3 linked regions of the Sus scrofa genome follow. The protein of the gene in region 3 interacts with the protein of the main gene of each other region in a pairwise test. Links are inferred from orthologs where the notes say so. Each region holds a gene or a part of one and is shown on either strand. Other genes may lie near its edges. The genes, in order: FOSL2, RNF183 and GOPC.

Evidence for each region.
Region 1: the proteins of GOPC (region 3) and FOSL2 interact in a two-hybrid assay, tested with the Homo sapiens proteins (2 studies listed by BioGRID and IntAct). The two-hybrid records come from large-scale screens. The link is inferred for Sus scrofa from reciprocal best matches to the Homo sapiens genes GOPC and FOSL2.
Region 2: the proteins of GOPC (region 3) and RNF183 interact in binary tests that used the Homo sapiens proteins (3 or more experiments, as listed by UniProt). The two-hybrid records come from large-scale screens. The link is inferred for Sus scrofa from reciprocal best matches to the Homo sapiens genes GOPC and RNF183.

The regions. Positions count from the first base shown.
Region 1 is NC_010445.4:110,840,258-110,844,007, forward strand, and holds the start of FOSL2 (fos-related antigen 2), read right to left. Parts: upstream 2,460-3,750; 5' UTR 1,435-2,459; intron 1,409-1,434; exon of another isoform or gene 526-1,408; intron 1-525.
Region 2 is NC_010443.5:253,932,055-253,935,704, forward strand, and holds part of RNF183 (RING finger protein 183), read right to left. Parts: intron 1,867-3,650; 5' UTR 1,539-1,866; coding exon 1,412-1,538; intron 1-1,411. UniProt on the Homo sapiens protein: Acts as an E3 ubiquitin ligase catalyzing the covalent attachment of ubiquitin moieties onto substrate proteins. Triggers apoptosis in response to prolonged ER stress by mediating the polyubiquitination and subsequent proteasomal degradation of BCL2L1.
Region 3 is NC_010443.5:44,273,836-44,277,485, reverse strand, and holds part of GOPC (Golgi-associated PDZ and coiled-coil motif-containing protein), read right to left. Parts: intron 2,550-3,650; coding exon 2,454-2,549; intron 924-2,453; coding exon 759-923; intron 1-758.

The sequences.
Region 1 (3,750 bases), on a different chromosome or scaffold from region 3:
AACAAAGAGTTATCTGCACCCCCTTCCCCCCAAGTCCCTGGGACTCCTGGCCATGTGTTAAGATCAAACTTTACCAAGTGAGAGAGGAGAAGAAAGCCCTGTGTGGGGTGGACAGCAACAAACTGCTCAGGAATATTAGACCCCACCAACAAAGCAAGCTGGAAAAAATAATATTCACTCGCCCAAGGTAAAACCAGAGACCCCTCTTACATGGTTTGGTCCACTGAGACGCCACTGGAGGAGGAGGGCCCATCCCTAACTGCCAGGAAAAGTCTCCCTCTCCCCGTAAAGGAAGCTAAGAGAAATAAAGTGATTACAGGTTTTATCTGGTATGTAATAAAGTTACCTTGAGCCTGGGTGGGGTCGTAGCCCAGACTTGTGAAGTAACAAAAACCTCTCACGTCAGTCCTTAGGACCACAGAACAGCTCTGCTCCAAGTCAGAGAGATGATGGGAAAACCCTCCCCTCTTCCCACCCACCCCCCAAGAGTGGACAGGCCAAGAAACTCATCCAAAGCTGAGTTACCTTGCCAATCCCTCCGGTTTGAAAGGTGCCTCACTCAAGCTGCTGGGCCGAATGGGCAAGCATATATGCAAGAACCCCGTGCAGCAGTTATTACTAATTGCAAAATCCTCATGTGTTGCAGCATGCTAGGAATTAGCCAACAGCTGCTTTTTGCTTTGGTAATGAGGCCCCATTACACTCTGCTGGACTGAGTTCTCTTCCTTCTTCCTAGCACTGGTTTCCTGTCTGATTTTCTTCCAAAACAGGGAATTGCCTCCGCTTGCATCCTGGGCTCAAAGCCCTAGTGACACAGATTATTCAATCGGGGCACTGATGTCCGGTCGGACTTCCCATCCAGGCCCCAGGGTCTGAGCAAAGCCAGGCGGCGACGTTGTAACATTTCAGTGATGACTGCCATAGAAACAGCAGCCAAAAGAGCAGATGAGACATCAGAAGATTCCCTTCCCATCGGAGAACGGAGATGGGGGGGGGGGGTGCTGTGGAAATGGAGACTGAGGGAATGGGTATAAATGACTCCCACCCGCTGCTTAATGATATCTGGATTCAATACAAACCACCAATGGGGCTGGAGAGCAAACAAAAATCAAACACTTTGGGACAAGACTTGAAATGCATCACCTTAGTGCTCAGTATTAGGGGTGCTCTGACCGTACCCTCAATGCACCAACCAGGTTCTCTACAGTGGGGTGCTAAAGGGGACACCGGGGCAGGTAAAAAGAAGACACAGAAAAGCCATTTTAAGGACTCACCAGGTATGGGGAACCACTTTGGAATAAGAGACCCCTCTTCAGATACCAAAGAGAGCCCCCTTTCCATTTTATTCTCCCTCAGGGTCCCTCCTCCCCAGAAGTCCACCCCAGGCCCTCCTGGTTGGCTGGCTTATAGAAGCCAAAGCCATCATCATCTTACCAGCGCAACTCGAGACAGCCAACTTGCCTAGAGACTCTGCAGATCCTGACCGAGGCGGGCTTCAGGTTCCAGCAACCTTGTTGGTTAAGCCAGCTCCCTCCCAAGAGTGGGGGTCGGGGGGTGGGGGGGAGTGGTGGCTGCAGAGGGCAGGCACCCCACGAACACCACCAACCCAGCAGCACCTTTCTGGTATTTATTCCGGTATTTATAGACACACAGATCTCAGGCAAAATCCCTCTGGTGCAAACCAGTCCGCCTGCTTTAGAAACAAGTTGTTTTCCGGCTTCCAGAACCACCCAGGAGCCTAAGCGAGGTCTCATCCACCGCCCCCACCGCCCCCCCACCGTCCCCTCTCTGCAGGCGTCCTGGCCCCAGATATTCCCAGACCCCCAAGGCGCCCCTTCTGGTCGGCTGTGCAGGCTCCTTCTGTGACCCTAACAGGAGATGGATGGGCGCGGGGGAGAAAGGCGCAGCCTGAGCCAATCAAGGCTGACCTCCTCCTTCCTGACCTTCGCACCTGATTCCCAGAGCGACAACCCTCGCCCTCGCTCCGGATTACTTGAAGGAGCCCATTTTTCCCAGTCCCCAAGTTCTTTCAGAAATGAACGAAGACCGAAGGAGAGAGGGCTTTTTCGCAGGAATAAGGTCCCTGGATGTCGGGAGGTGCCCGTGGGTGCAAAGATTTTTTTTGGAGGGGGGTCTAACCACGGGGTTCCTGCGAGAGAGGTACAGGGTCCTGGGGAAAAGGCCCTGCAATTCCAGGAGCTTGTCTGTATAGGATGTAGTGTGAAGGCGAGGGTTTGTTGGCTCTCCAGCCCACTCGCCGCTCTAGTTTAAAAAAAAAAAAAAAAAAAAAAAGTGTTGGCGGGGGATGGGGGAAGGTTAAAGGAGGTGTCAGGAGGACAAGATGAAAATCTAGAACTTACAATGGAGGCCGCAAGAATTTTCTCGCCAAATCAAGAAAGGGAAAAGAAAGGGGGGGAAAAAAGGCAGTCCTGGCGAGAGGAAGGCGGGGGGTCCACCCGCGGCGCCAGGTGCACCCGGGGCCCGCACCTACCTGCTGGCCGCCGCCGCCGCTGGAGTAGGACTCGGCGTGCGCAGGAGAGCCGCTGCTGCCCCGGGACGAGGTGTCAAAGTTCCCGGGATAATCCTGGTACATGATCCGCGGTGGGGGCCCGAGAGGAAACAGGGTGTTTTTCTTCCCCCGCCCTCGCCGCGGCCGCGCACCGGCAGCTGCGCGCTGGCTCCCTGCCGGCCGCGCCTGGGGCTCTAAGCGTCGCTCCCGGGCTTCTCCCCCTCGGCGGCGGCACTCCGAGAACAGTGCCCCCCGAGCGCCGAGCGCTGCACTTCTTTCCTGCTCTACGAGCGCCGCGGGACCAGTTGTCCACCCGGTCCCTCCCTCTAAAAAGTCCGCGCGTCCCTCGGTCCCTCCCCTGCGCGCGCCCTCCTGCCCCCGCGCGCAATCAGAGCCCAGCCGGGACCGCCGGCTCAATCAAAAATTGGAAATTAAAAAAAGAATAGGAGCCCGGCGAGTCAAGCCTGCCAGGTCTGGGGGCCCCCAATTTCAGACAGGGCAAAAAAGGAAGAAAAAAAAAAAAAGGCGAAAAGAAAGGCTGCCCGCTTGGAGAAACTTCTATTTCCTCCTTTTAGAAAAGGAGCTGAGAATAAACTTCCTGTGGCCGACTCGCCGCCGGAGTTTCGAGCGGCAGGGACACTTGATTAGGTGAAGGCAGCCCGCCCCGCGGCCCGTGGGGTTCCAGCTGAGCTGACGCGGAGAGGGACGCGGGCCCGCTCCCCTTGCGGCGGCTCCGGCGCCCGGACCTGCACCCCTTCCCCGGCGCCCGCTCCCGGACGGGCCCGCCTCGCCCGTCCGCGCCTCTCTCTCTCCCTCTCTCTGTCCCCGCCGAGCGCCGCTTGCTTGCTCGCTGGTTCGCTCGGAGCCCCAGCGCTCTGCCCGAGATGAGTCACTACAATGGCACGAGTTCAACTCCACTCTTTATTCTCCAGCCCCTGTACCTCACGTCAACCCAAGACTCCACCTTGCGGGAGGAGCGCTAGGGGAGGCGGAGGGAGAGGGCCGAGGAGGAGGAGGGGGAAGAGGAGGAAGAGGCGCGGGAGGAGGCGGGCGCAGCACTCCCCTCCCTGCCCGGGCTCCCGGCCGCGCTGACGCCAGCCGCACACCCTGCGCGAGGAAGGAAGGAGGTGGAGGGGGTGGGAGCGCTGTGAGCGCGGTTTGGGGGACCCGAGGCAGCCCGGCCCTTCCCCACCCCCGCCCACCCCCCTGGGCCCTGCGCCCTTGGTCTGTTCCACCGGCGC
Region 2 (3,650 bases), about 210 Mb from region 3:
GGAAGACAGGAAGGCTCAAGGCTGAATCATAACCCTGATTCAGCAGGTCCCCCACTGGGAATCTATCCTATGGAAATAATCTAGGACCTGTGTGAAAATTTGATGAGAGAGTTGCCCATCAAAGACTGCGCTGATGGTGAAAAGTTGAAAACTGGCAATTATCCAATAGCAGGAGGACCCTGATTAAATAGGTTCTGCTCAGAGTTCCCTGGTGACCTCGTGGTTAAGGATCTGGTGGTGTCACTACTTTGGCTCCAGTTCAATCCCTGGCCTAGGAACTTCCGCATGCCGAGGGCATGGAAATACGTTCATGACATGTCATTAAGTGAAAAGAACCAGTCATAAAACCATATTACAATCCAATCCAACTTTTCAATAGATGTGTGCAATGGAAAATATGTCTAGAAAATCAAACACCAAAATGTCAACAGAGGTTATCTCTGGGGGTAGGATTATAGGTTGGTTTGTTTTTAATTGTCTTATCTGAAAATTCTAACTTTACTGCAGCATGCCTGTATTACTACCCTTCAAGAGCTCCCTCCCCACAAAGCAGACTTACATTGTCTAAAGTTCCACGGCCAAAGCTGTAAAGGGCCATTCAAGAGGAGAAGATCACTGTTGCATCGGCACCTGGGCCCTTATCTGCCATGGGCCCCTCAGGCCTTGCTGTGGTTTCAGACTCTGGCCACTTATCCACCCACCCCTCACCCTCAAGCCAGGACATCCCAATACCACCCCCACGGGTATACAGCCTTAGCCTGTGAGCGGGTCAGTCAGCCAAATATCAACTGTCTGTAGCATCACTGCAACCCTTTTGACCTCCAGAGGGGAGAGGTGAAGAACGAGTATTTTTACAGCACTTCCCAGTTTACCAAGGTCCTCAGTCCCGGCCAGGGTCTTAAGTGTGGTAACCTACAACTAGACAGTGTAATTGCCTTTTACAACTTTTTTCCATCTGCCTAAACCATTTGATCCTTTAAAACACCTTCTGAAGGAAGCAGGATCAGGAGTTGAAAGTGTACAGTTTTGGAACCAGACTTCTTTGCTGTGAGGTCTTAGACAAATGGCTTAACCACTCTGAGCTTCATTTTCCTCTGTAATATAGGCTTATGATCCCACCCTATGAACTTGCTGCGAGGAAGGGAGAATGTCGTGTTATGTGCCCAGCAAAGCACAGCAGATGCTCAATAAGTAGTTAGCATGATATTTTTACACCCATTCTATACACAGGAGCATCAAGGCTCAGAAGGGTGAAGTGACTTGCCCAAGGCTTCACAGCTAAAGAATGGCTGAGCTTGAAAGCTGCCTCCAGGAGCCCTGACTCCCAGGCTGGTGTGCACCTGTTGGATGCTGCCTCTCTGGACGGCTGGGTTCTGTGACCTGACCCTCCAAGACCCTCCCAGCTCCTTACCTGCACCCTCGGAATCTCGCCCACTTCCTCCTCCTCCTTTCCCGAACGCAGCCCTGCAGCCTGTGCTCTGGGCTCTGGCTTCTCCAGGCCTGGTTTCCAGGCAGTTGTGGGCGGGTCTCATTTGCATGGTCTTCAGGCAGCTCTTGGCCAGCTCTCCAGCTCAGGTTTTCCTCCTCTCCCCTTTGCTGACTTTGGACTGTCTGGGCTTACGGGGGACAGACAGCCTGGAAGCTTTGGTTACATCTTCCTCCTGTGAGTCACTCTTGCTTTTTCTCTAAGGGGGTCGAAGTCCACTCATCTTTGCAGGCCTCTGTTCTGCGCTGGGCTGGTCTCCTGCCATCCCCTCTGACTACACCGCCTTGGCTCACACATTGCCTTACGCTGGCGGGCAGGCAGGGCGCCGCTGAAGTCACTTCTGCTCCTCAGCTTGGATGGATCCTTCCCTATTCCGAGCCCTACAACCAAAATACAAAGGGCGCTTGTAAAACATTAAGAAAAGGCAAACAATCCAATAGGGAAACAATCAGGGGAGACTCGTTTAAGCATAAACCTGAAGAGCCTGGGTTCCCAATCAAGTCAGATTTCTGGGTCAGAGGCAAGTCTTCGCTCAGAATCCAGACTCTACTTACTAGCAATGGAGATGTGAGCAACTTCACTTCTCAAATATTGGTTTTCTTACCTGAAAATGGGTGTAATAATTTTACCTATTTGCTTGGCAGGTGAAATGAGACAATGCATGCAGAGATCATAACACAGTGCCTGGTACACAGGAACATGCAGTAAATATTAATTATTATGATGTGATCAGGCAAATCACAGAAAAAGAAATACAAATGGAATATATTTGTAGTTATTCAACCTCATTTACAATTAGAGAAATTCAAATTTAAATTTAAATAAGATACTGCTATTTTTCCTATCAGACTGAAAAACATTAAAATAATAGTAGCTCTGGAGTTCCCACTGTGGTGCAGTGGGTTATGAAATCGACTAGCATCCACGAGAATGCGGGTTCAATCCCTGGCCTTGCTCATTGGGTTAAGGATCCAGCCTTGCCCTGAGCTGCAGTGTAGGTCACAGACACAGCTCGGATCCCATGTTGCCGTGGTTGGCAACTGCAGCTCCAATTGGACCCCTGGCCTGGGAACCTCCATATGCCGCAGGAGCAGCCCTAGAAAAGGCAAAAAGACAAAAAAAAAAAAAAAAGACAAAATTATCAACAATTTCTAATAAAATGACCAGAAATTTGCTTTCAAAAAATAAACAAAATAATAGTAGCTAAAACCCCACTATTATTATTGAAAGTAATGATAGTTTTCTACTATGTGCTTTAGTAAATGCTTCTGACCTATGACCTCCAGACACTCCCAAGAGGCACAATATGGAACACATATAGTAAGACTTGTCCTTACTCTTCCATAGATAAGGAATCAGAAGCTCAAAGCGAGTAAGGGATTTATTTGCCCAAGAGCTCTTGAGAAGCAACTTAAAAGAGCCAGACTGCAAATCTGGCTCTGAAATCTGTGCCATTGCCTCACTGTCTTCCCCTAAAGATACATTTTTGTTCCATCTCCTATTCTCAGGACTTACCATCCTCTTTTTATTCCTTTATTGACCATTTAAATGGAGTGTAGAGAATAAACAAATAAATGCATTTGACTGGTGATGGAATCAAATGCCCTAGTCCCTTTATTTTGTTTTAAACATTTTATATTTTATTTAAAAATTTTTATTTTTAGTTATTTATTTGGCCATGCTGCAGCATGCAGAAGTTCTTGGGCCAGGGATTGAATATGAACCACAGCAGTGACTCAGACCATTGCAGTAACAACACCTGAGCCTTAGTGACTAGGCCACCAGGGAACTCCCAACACTTTTAATTTTAAAAATGGTAATATATTTACATATTCATCATGTGAAAGGTTTGAGTTTGCAGTGAAAATGTTCTTCTCCCAACTACCCGTTTCCCTGAAAATTAAGGTATTATACTATAAATTTCTCATCTGTCCTTCCAAAGAAGCTTTATGAATACACCAAACTCCTATGATGAGGTGTCTGTGTATTCCTTTTCCTCCTTTGTACACTAAAGTGCATATGGTATACATGGTTTTACACCTTGTTTTAACTTGATGTATCTGAGACATCATTTTGTATTAGTATATAATGAGCTTTCTCAGGTGTTTAATGGTTGTATCATAGTTCATTGAATGGCTGTATCAGAAATTACTTAACCACTCCC
Region 3 (3,650 bases):
ACTGTAGATATTTATGCATCATCATGTAAAGTTGAACTAAATGAGCTAAAAGTGACTTTCAACTCTTGAGATTCAATTCTACCCTGGCATACTACACTGATAATCTAACAAACATCTCAATGTACTAATGAACACCTCTCTAATTCTGTCAACCCTATTCTTGAAGGAAAAAACCAAAAAAAAAGCATCTTAAGTACTCTGGATACGAAATATGATCCCTGGATATGAATCTGAACTCTATAATGTATTTGTTCTGCAACGCTGAGTAAATCATTTAATTTCTAAGAAGCTTAGTCCACTTATTTTAAATAATAAAGTTGGGCTAAATGATTTCTAAGGACCCTTCAGTTCTAACATTTATGACTTTAAAGTTGATCCACTTCTAGTACTGTTTGTTCTGTAGCACTTCATATTTGTACAGTGTTTTAGTCATTAGTGATGTTCTGTTTCTAAGTTTTGAACACTTTATATACATTAACATACTTATTAATCCTTACAGCTCTCAGATAAAGACACTGCAGCACAAAGAACTTAAGTAACATACTCAAAGGTATACAACTGTAAAGAAAAGCAAATAAAAATTTTTTCCAGTAAATCTGGTTGAATATCTTTTATAAAAGCTCAAGTCAAAGGAAACTAGTATCTATATATAAACACTTTACTACCTGAGAAACCTCCTAGGAAAGTATAAGGCATTCAATAGATTCAAAAAGGTAACAACTGATAGATCCAATTTTAGTTACATAAAGAGAACTTACTTGCTGGGAAAGAATGGTTACAGCTTCTTTATGCTTTGTGTCCCTTAGATTAACTCCATTAACAGCCAGAATTGCATCTCCAACATGCAGCCCTCCACATCTGTCAGCAGGTTGCCCTGGGTGGATCTCAGAAATGAGGATTGGAACGCCATGTTCCTTTCCGCCCTAACCAGGGGGGAAAAAAAAAAAAAAAAAAAGGCAGTAAATTAGTTCACCTTTGTGTAGTCAGACTATTCTGATAAATATTTTCCTATAGACCTATTCCAATAAGCACCTATACCGTCTCTATAAATGCTGAAACACTACTTGCTACTTAAGTAATGATAAATCAAATTGTTATGAATATCAAAGAGTTACCTCTAAGTAAAGTGATTAATATCATACATGTGCTTCTTAAAATGCATTCCAGAGCCAAAAGAAAAAAACAAAACAAAACTGAAAAACAAAAAACCAAAACAAACCTACAACCCAATTGGCTGAGCTCTCTTAAACATAAATAAAAATATCTTAAGTACTAGTAGTCCACAGCACTATTAGAATTTATCAGCTCTAAGTCACTATGAATAGTAAGACAATTACTTTATGTACCACAAAAGTAATTACAATATGAACCTCAATTTCACAGGTGTTAAAATGTGAAAAAATGTGCAAGCAAAATCATTGAAATGAGTACTTGATACATTTTACTTTCTAGCTTGCAATCATAATTGTGTGTGTATATATCTTAATTTTTCCTACTAAAACTTAATGCTCTTTGAGGGAAATGTATTCAAAAAGGGAAGTATTCAATAAATACCCATTATTTCTTTATTGTAAGAAACATTTCTACATTAAGCAATGCCAGAAAGCCAATGAACTTATGCAGTACCTAAATACAAAGCCATCTTATTCATTCATCTGGAACAAAGCACTGAATGGCAAAATGACTCTAAACATATGTATTTTATGTTGTCCAAGACAACAGTTTGTAAAGGCATCAACTTTAAAAAAGAAGAATGTCTGGACCCAAGAGCCACTGAAATCTGATAGAAATGAAACAAGAGATAGTAAGAAATACTCTAGAGAAAGGAACAGTACTGGCTGGAGCCATTTAGCACAGAAGAAAACAGTCATATCAATTCCCAAAAGCTCCTCCTACAGGCAGCACAGAACTAAATGACTTGAGTCATAATGAAAAAGATAAACAATGATTTCTAAAGTAATACTTTTACTACTTCACGGTTATTAGGAATATTTACGTACCCCTCAAAAAAGGTTTACACGAAAGTGTTGGTACCCACAGGGATAAATTCAGTTATTTAGAAAATACATTCAGGAGTTCCCGTTGTGGCGCAGTGGTTAACAAATCCGACTAGGAACCATGAGGTTTCGGGTTCAGTTCCTGGCCTTGCTCAGTGGGTTAAGGATCCGGCATTGCCATGAGCTGTGGTGTAGGTGGCAGACATGGCTCAGATCCCTTGTTGCTGTGGCTCTGGTGTAGGCCGGGAGCTACAGCTCCAATTAGACCCCTAGCCTGGGAACCTCCACATGAGGCGGAAGCGGCCCTAGAAAAGGCAAAAAGACAAAAAACAAAACAAACAAACAAACAAAAAAGAAAGTACATTCAGAATACTTTACTTCCCGATGATGTCCAAAAAAGGGGCATGATTATAATAGATAACTACAGAAAAGGAGACTGGAAGCACTACTTCTTACTGTAATTGAAATGCCAAGGCCTTCATGATCTTCCTTAAGAAGAAGAACTTTTCTAATTGGTCCAACTCCTTGGCTTTTCTTTAAAGAGTCTTGATCCTTATTGAGTGAAAAAAGAAAAAAATTAGTACCACATAAGTAATAATCCAAACAGAGTAATCCATAGTATTACAGCTTGCTTTTAGAAATATTTATTAATTTCCTATAATAGATACACAGTACAGTGTTAAGAAAGTCATTAACAGATAAAATGGAAAAGCAAAAATAGTTGTTCTGTTAATATGGTGAAATGTACAGATGATTTTTCTCACCCCCTTGTTAATTTCTTTAATACTGCTACAACTCTTTTTAAATTGAAGGACATTACAAAAGAAATTATTGCCAGGAATTAATTGATAAATAAATATCCTCAATAAGTAAGAGTAGGTAACTTTATCTTCATAGGAAAATATCCTAAAGATCTATATCCATTTCAACTGATTTGTAGAACTGAAAAACAAAATGCCAGCTGGATCATTAATTACTTTTTCATTCCTTTGAGTTCTGGAGTCTACCTCTTAAATAAAGGACCTTGCTCCATTAATAATTCTTTCTTGGGTAACTATACTCTTTCCTTCTCTACAAGCTCCTTCTTAATTCAGCTACTTCCTAATTCAAGCCTCATACAGCTTTAAAATACTGACCATGTACAAACAGAAAATAAGACAAATAAAAACTCCTCCATCACCCATTATCTTCTTTACCTACTCTCCTCCCTCAATCTTTCCTTAACCTTCACACAAAGCTAATCCTAGCTACAATAGCTTCCTGGCCTCCCACATTCAGTACTCCAACCCTGTAATTAGGGTTTTGCCCCTACCTGCTCCACACAAACTGGCTTCCCTACAGTCACTGGTAACCAAGACGGCTATTTCCAATGAATCCTTTATAGTCACTACCTTATTTGAACCTTACAGAAAGCTGATAGTGTTCATTACATCCCATCCCTGAAACCCTGTCTTTTCTATTACACTACTTTTCTAGATGCCCTGTATCTGACAGCCCTACCTCAGGCTCTTCCTTTGGTGATTCATGTCCTTCTTCTCCTACTCCGTAAAAGTCTCCTTACGTCTTTTTACTTTCTATATACTTTCCCTGAGTGACTTAATCAATTCCATGATTTTAATTTTTATAAAGGAGGATTTACCTAATACCTTCAAT